2 linked regions of the Mus musculus genome follow. The main gene of each other region encodes a partner of the protein of the gene in region 2 in a complex. Links are inferred from orthologs where the notes say so. Each region holds a gene or a part of one and is shown on either strand. Other genes may lie near its edges.

Region 1 (4,491 bases), on a different chromosome or scaffold from region 2:
TGAAGGTGAGGACAAAACTGCAGCATCTGTTAACGCAGCCGAGGGAAGAGTTGTGCTGCGCATGTCACTTAATGCACAAGTGCAGAAGTCAAGTTCCCTAACGAATCCAAGTGCTTCCACTTTGTCTCCAGGGAATGTATAAATTAACCATTCCCCCTCCCTTCCTCCCTCCTCCCTATTTTAAATGTAGATAGGGCGACCCTAGCCTTTTGAATTTGAAGGGCTGCTATCTCGGGCCCATTCTTTCCATCATCCTGTTTTGAATGACACTGAGCACGTATAGATTCTCTTATAAAAGCACCCCTAGGATGCTGGGCTCCTTTCTTCAAGCTGCTAGCTAATTTTGCATAGCAATTAGTACTGACTTCTCCAAGTCTGCAACCCAAACACCTCTCCAGAACGTTCCACAGTCCCTCCAAGGTCCAACTCTGCGCCATTAGATTTCAAACCAGAAGGCGAGGAACTTGCGTAATGATTAAATTCCCAATTTGTGTGAAGACACAATAATCTCTGACTACGCGTTAATTCCAACCTTAGGCCGCGACTGGGCAGCTAGGAGCCAGCATGTACGTCCTTTTAAAATCTATTCTACGTATTCACTGACCGCGCCGGGCCGGGCCACATGGTCCTCTCTCGCAGCCAGTCAGCTGTAGGCAGCAGATGGGATCATTTGCATTTTTCTTTTTAGACATTTTTTTTCCATCGGCAAATTAAAGGATTAAAAAAATTTTTTTTTCCGTTCTCATTGTTTACCAAAACCAGGCACGCAGCTTAAAAGTTGACTTGGGCTTTTCTTTTCCCTCCACCCCCACCCCAAGTCCCCGAAAGTTGGAGAACTGCGAGGGGTTGGTTTCTTATTTCTCAACTCCGACTCTGCAGTCCGGGAAACTAGGAGACGGTCGGTCTTAACTAACTCGGCGACTGGAGTCTCCCAGTTTTCCGCGCTGAGCCCCGTGGCTCTGAGTTGGTGGCATGAGGGTCCCCAAGCGCGTGCTTCGCTCCGCAGCCTCAAGCGGCAAAACTTGGGCTCTCGGAACTCAGGCTTTACGGGAGAGGGCGGCCACCCTGCCGGGGGAGTGGCCAGGGCTCCCCCAGAGCCCGGGGTCGCTCTCCAGTATACCCCCCCAACCACGAATCCATGCAGAACTGGAGGGGGGGCGCACCCCGAAGTCTTTGTGCCCGGCGTGGCACGGGAAGGTCCGTGCGATGGTGCGGCGCCACAGCCGAGCGCCCCAAAAGCGGGGGGCGCGGGCGGAAAAGACACGGCGCGTTGCCTCCCACCCCCACCCCCCGGGGTTAGAGAAAAAGTAGAGAAAGAGGCGCCGGGGCCACGCTCCAGCCCGGAGAGCACGTAGCCGAGAATGCCGCGGGGCGCTTTCCCGTGGGTGAGAGCCGCCCTGGTCCGCCGGCAGCCGGCGCGGGCCCACGTGGAGCCGCGCTGTGCAGGCCGAGCGCACCCGCCCCGCAGCGCGCCCCAGCTCCCCGCCGCGGTCGCTCACGCCCGAGCGCCGCCGCCGCCGCCGCCGCTGGTCCCGCGTGTGCCCCGCTGAGGGGGAGGGGCGGCGCGGTGGGGGCGGAGGGCTTGAGGTTCCACTGCAGCGGGGGCTCCTGTGTCCTTGTGCGGAAATGACACACGGAGTCCCGTCACGTCACGCGAGAGCGCAGCGCACGGACACACACAAAGAGAGGGGAAAATACACGGCGCCCGCCCGCCCGCCGCCCCCAGCCAGTCGGCGGGGCCGCCCCGGCCAGGCCCTGCGCGCTCGGCCCCCACTGCGGCCCGCGCGCCCGCCCCCCGCACGTGGCGCCCGAACTCGGCGCGGGTCCCGCTCCGCAAAGTAACAACTCTCGTCCCAGGTGAGTGTGGGCCCCGGTCGGGGCCGCCTGCGAGCGGCTCGCCGCCTCCGCGCGGGCTGGAAGGGGGAGCGGGCGCCCACGGGCTCGTCGCGCCCCATTGTGCCGCGCGCCCCTTTGTGCCCGCTCGGAACGCCGCGACTCCATGGCGTTCCGGGAGCACGCGCGCCGCGGCCAGGGAGGAGGAGGAGGGAGGGGAGGACGCACGGTGGAACGGTCCGCGCCGCCGCCGCCAGGCCGGCCCCACTCGCGCCGCGCGCCGGCTCTCCACCCCCGGCGGGCCGGCGATGGAGCGGCCGAGGGCCGCCGGGGAGCAACTGCGCGGCGCCGGAGCGCTCGCGTTCGACCGGCCTGTGGCGGCGATGGAGGGGTGTCAGAGGGAGCAGAAGGGCGGGGAGCCAGAGGCCGGAGAGCCGCCGCTCGGAGGGACGCTGCCCCGGGGAGGCAGCGGAGGGAGCGAGGCTGCCGGCGGCTGGGAGCGGGGTGCGGCGAGCCCCGCCGCCAGGGGGCGCGGCACCCTCCCGGGCCGTTCCACGGCGCTCCGTGGTTCCCGCTGCCCGGCTGGAGGCGGGTCCAGCGCGGCGCTCTGGGTGTGCACCCCAGCGAGCGCGAGGCCTTCCTGGCGGGCGGTGGAGCCGGGCCGGGGCGCTCGCCGCCCCTCGTGACTTGTGCCCGCCACGATCGACGTAATTTCCCACGCAGACTTGGCTCGGGCTGTGAGGCGCGGAGTTGTGAAGGCCTTGTGGGCTGGGACTCAACTCATCTGAGTTCTTTTTTTCTTTTTTTTTTAAGTTTGTCCTAAAGTAGAAGTTTGATCGCTCAGGTGGCCCGCTTGGGAGTATTTTGGAGGTGGAGGCCAACCAGAGATGCTCAGAATTAATGTTCACTGTTTGGAAGTCAGAGAACTTCCTTTTAGAAGTAACTTTTGAATGTTTTCCTACAAGTAACACGTCACTGAGTAGAGGGGAGGGTGCCAGAAATCTATAAAGACCCAGAAAACCCAGGCGAGTGGGGAACGTGTGGAAATGTCCCAGATAGAGGTTTTAGGTTTGTCTCTGTTTCGGTTCCATGCCTGCAGTTTTTCTCTTTTTGCGACTTTCCACTTTTAATTCATAGGTGTTTGGGTTTTGTTTTTAAGCTTCATTTTCGGTGTATGTGTTTTGACTGCATATATATGCGCCATATCCATGCCTGGTCTCCTAAGAGGTCAGAGGAGGGCATCGGATTTACAGATAGATGGTTGGGAGCAGCCACGTGGGTGATGGGAACACAACCCACGACCTCTGCAAGAGCCACAAGTGCTCTTAAACGCTGAGCCATCTCTCCAGCCCCTCGTTTTAGAGTTTCATGTGTAAACCTTACAGGACTTCAGCTTCCTCGAATACTGGGATTTAGCCAGGATTTTTTTGTTTTTTTGTTTTCCTTTTTTGAGACAGTCTCCTGTGGTCCCTGCTGGCCTCAGACTTTTTTGTTATATAGGCCTGCGTGATCCTGAACGCCTGTCAAGTTACAGGAGTTACATACTTGGGATTACAAGTATGTGCACTGCACCTAATTTTTGTGGTACTTGATCGAAATTACGACTTTAGTTACGGTAGGCAAACATTTTACCAACTAAGTTACATCCCCAGCCCTAAGAATTATTTTTGCATTTTTAAAAATCTAAACTTTTATATATATTCTCATGTGAGACCAAGACACACCAAGAACCACTTTGGGCTTTACTAGAGATGCCTTGTTTGTTTGTTTGTTTGTTTTAAGTCTACATTTCACTGTAGCTTTGAATGGCCTGGAGCCTGAGATTTAACAAGGCTGGCCTTGGAGATCCAGCTGCCTAAACCGACCAAATGCTAGGATTAAAGATCTGTCCCACCACACCTGGCATTTTGTTGTTGTTGTTTGGTCTTGATACCGAGTCCCTAAATTCTGTCCCGTCCTTGAATTGCTATGTAAACCAGGCTGGCCTCAAACTTAGAGATCTGACTGATCCTGCCTGTAGGGGGTGGAGGTGGGATGGGGGTGGGGGAAGGTATTAAAGGTGTCCACACCACCTGGCTTTTGTTGTTTTCTCAGACTGGGTCTCACTATGTATCCCATACTGGGATGGTCTTTTGGTTTCTCTGTAGACCAGGCTGCCCTAGAACTCAGGGATCCACCTACCTGCCATCTCCATCTCCGCTTTCTCCTATCAGTGTTGGAACCAAAAGAATGAACCACCATGACCATGTCAGAGATGCTGTTTTAGTGAAGTTAAACAGTAAAGTTAGCGTTCTTTCTCCACACACACAAGAAGTAAGACCAGTTAGCCACGAAGACAGAATACAGACTAGCCAGCATTCCAACCGTCTGTTAGAGATTGATAGGTTATCTGGGGACCCTTGGGGGCACCAAAGGTGGGGGCAGAATATTTAGGAACAGGAAAATTGGACTCAGCCCTGACAGAGGTTTGATTGGGTGAGGATTAAGCTCCTGTAGGAGACCCATCTACAGAACTGCCTAGAAATGCATTAGCACCTGTAATAATAATTTATACAAGAGACTAGGGAATGGCGTGTGTGTGTGTGTGTGTGTGTGTGTGTGTGTGTGTTAATTTTTATAAGTGAGACTATGCTTGCTATTCTAACCATTCTGTACCCA
Region 2 (2,643 bases):
GCAGGTCACAGTGAGTCTTAGATGTTTCAGTTCAAACACAAAAACACCACCCTCCACCTCAAAGGTTATGGTAAGGATTAAACAAGAGGCCTGTGTGATATACTCAATATCCAGTAGGCACATTGTAAACACTAAATCTTTGGTGACAGCATATGCTGCACTTGGTGTTTCTGAAGGTGAATCGGATTCTTATGTAGTCAACAATCAAAAGAGAGGATGTGATAGCATCCAAACACCAGTATAAGTGGGACATAGTGTTATACATCCTTAATCCCAGCTCCAGGGAGGCAGAGGCAGGTGGAGCTATCTCCCTGAGTTCCAGGCCAGCCAGAGCTATGTAAAACTTTGTCTCAAAAAACTGAAGAACACCCCCCCCACACACACACACACACCACATAACTGGGTTGAAGAAAAGCATAGTCCAGAGTAAGTGAAGAATAGCTAACCAGTTGGTAGAGCAACTCCAGGGCAGGCTACAAGTGCCCAAGAATGCTAGTACAGGTACTGTATGCAGCTAAGCTGGAAGCACAAACGGCACATTATTAAGGCTATCTTAGATTTGGAATGCTAAATGACGAGCTTATTGGAACTAAAGAGTTTCTGTCTACCACCTTGTGAAAGAAAATGAATGGAAACACTCTGGAGAAAAGGCACTTTAATTTTCAGAACTGAGCTAACAGACAAAATGGCCCTTTTCACAGTAAAAATAGCCAGAACAGCTTCACAAAACTTTAGGTAACACTTCTGAAAGTTTGCAAAGTATGCCTAAAGGGGAAAAAATGAAATATTCAAGGGAAGAACTGCTGAACAAAACATTTATATTCAATTGCATTTTAGACATAAGAAATAGGCTATAAAGTTCTCAAATGTTCAGCTGCTTATACAAACTTAAAGTCATGAGCATGACCTCAGGATCTGCACTTTTTATATCAAGTGCTTTAACTAAGCAGTTGAGAGCCTCCTGTATCTTCCCGCACTCTTTCAGTTCTTTCCCACGAGCTACAAGACTCTCATAGTCATTACCAGCCTCCACTGCCAGATCCTGGGGAGGATCAGGCATAGGGTCACTTGACGAAGGTTCAGGAGCACAGGGAGAGCTTTGTGGGGCTGGAGAAGTAGGCTCAGACATGGTCAAGTTGCTGGACTTGTTTCCTGAAGCCAGTGTTGCCCCAGAAGGCTGCTCTTCTGTGCAGGCTAAGGCTTCTTCTTCATTGTTCTCTTCTGAAAGCCCTGGCTCACTCTCCTCCTCGCTGCTGTTATCAAGCCTTTCCTCCATATCTTCCACATCATCTAAAACCACATTGATCAGAGACCTCCTAGAAGCCAGGGACCTCCTAGAATGTAAGGACGTATTCACTTCACCTGGTGTTTTAGGTGAAAAGAACCTTCGAGATGGATTGCTGCCACTTTGGGGAGTTGAAGCATCAAATTGTTTCACAGATGAGAATGGAAAGGGAGAGATGTTAATTGAATTTGTATGACTACCTTTAAAAGCATCTTCTTCATCTTCATCTTCATCATCTGAGAGGATCCTTCTAGTTTTGCTTTTGGTTTTCACACTAATCACTTCTGATTCTTCATCACTCTTAGGAGAAGAATCCAAACTGAGAGTAAGTGCTGACTTTGCCCTGGAGTTAGCTGCAGGGCTTTGCAAGCTTTTTTCTTTCTCAACATGTTCCAAAAACTTGCTGGAGAGGTTTTGTCTAGTGTCTGCAGAGTCTTCCAGGAAAAGATTGAAATCACATGCATATTGTGGTGGTGATTTTAAAGGGTCATCCTCTTTCAACTCCAACTGGGCCTCGATTGCTTGAGCACCCTGCAGTGCGCTAGGAGGTTCAGACAAGTCATCAGATATTTCAATCATGGGTACATCTGATTCTAGGTTTTGGTTTTCATTTGCTGTGGGACTGCGGTGATATAAAACCACACTATCCTGTAGATCTAAATTTGGCCCAAGACTGGCCTTGCTGGATTCTCTAGGTAAATAATGAAAACTTCCCAGGTTCTCTGATGGGGCCTCTTGCCCAGGTGATGCTTGTAATCCCTTCTTCTGCATAGCATCATTTTCAGCTGCAAAACCTTTTGCAGGGCTCAATAAAGAGTCAGTAGAAACTTCGCCTATACTTTCAGCCCCCTGGGGTAAAGAAGCTATAGTGCCAGCATCAGATGTACTGTTGAAGTGGTGACTACCTTGCAGTGAAGTGACATCATGTACCTCAGAGTGCTCTTGGGGCTCACTCTCTGCAGACTGATCGCAAATGGTTATACTGGCCATTTGAGAACTGATAGCCTCTACCTGGGTAGGTTTAGTCAGAAGGCGTGAAGGCTGGGGCTGAGGTTTGTTGAATTCAGTACCTTTCTTCTTCTGTTGAGAAGGAAATTCCTGTGCTTTGAGCCAGGTCTCCTCAATTCCAGTCGTTTGTCTTTGCACTGTATTTTGAGACTCAGATTCAACAAGGAATTGAGCTTTTTGAACTCTCTGATGAATGTACTGAGAGTCTTCTAGCATGTCAAGCTCTTCTTTAACAGACAGATCACGGGTGAACATCAAATCATGGTCTGAGATTCCTGCTATGCCCAGCAAGTGGAGGTAGGCAATATGCTCATCTAGTTTCTCATCAGATCTCCGCTGAGCAGCATGTA

What was found.
Region 1: the proteins of Ercc6l (region 2) and Bend3 are in contact, whole or in part, in a crystal structure (PDB 5JNO), measured with the Homo sapiens proteins. The link is inferred for Mus musculus from reciprocal best matches to the Homo sapiens genes ERCC6L and BEND3. Residues at the interface, in NP_060139.2 of Homo sapiens: Ala10, Glu11, Ala12, Leu13, Ser14, Pro15, Glu16, Ala18, Ala19, Tyr21, Leu22, Arg23, Lys26, Phe51, Pro52, Asn53, Glu54, Lys55; in NP_001073919.1 of Homo sapiens: Glu252, Gln255, Ile256, Gln259, Leu261, Asp265, Arg269, Val272, Gln273, Pro276, Phe279, Ser280, Phe335, Arg338, Phe339, Gln342, Glu346.

What each region holds. Positions count from the first base shown.
Region 1 is NC_000076.6:43,477,516-43,482,006, forward strand, and holds the start of Bend3 (BEN domain-containing protein 3), read left to right. Parts: upstream 1-1,624; 5' UTR 1,625-1,857; intron 1,858-4,491. UniProt on the Homo sapiens protein: Transcriptional repressor which associates with the NoRC (nucleolar remodeling complex) complex and plays a key role in repressing rDNA transcription.
Region 2 is NC_000086.7:102,142,317-102,144,959, forward strand, and holds the end of Ercc6l (DNA excision repair protein ERCC-6-like), read right to left. Parts: coding exon 863-2,643; 3' UTR 504-862; downstream 1-503. UniProt on the Homo sapiens protein: DNA helicase that acts as a tension sensor that associates with catenated DNA which is stretched under tension until it is resolved during anaphase. Functions as ATP-dependent DNA translocase. Can promote Holliday junction branch migration (in vitro).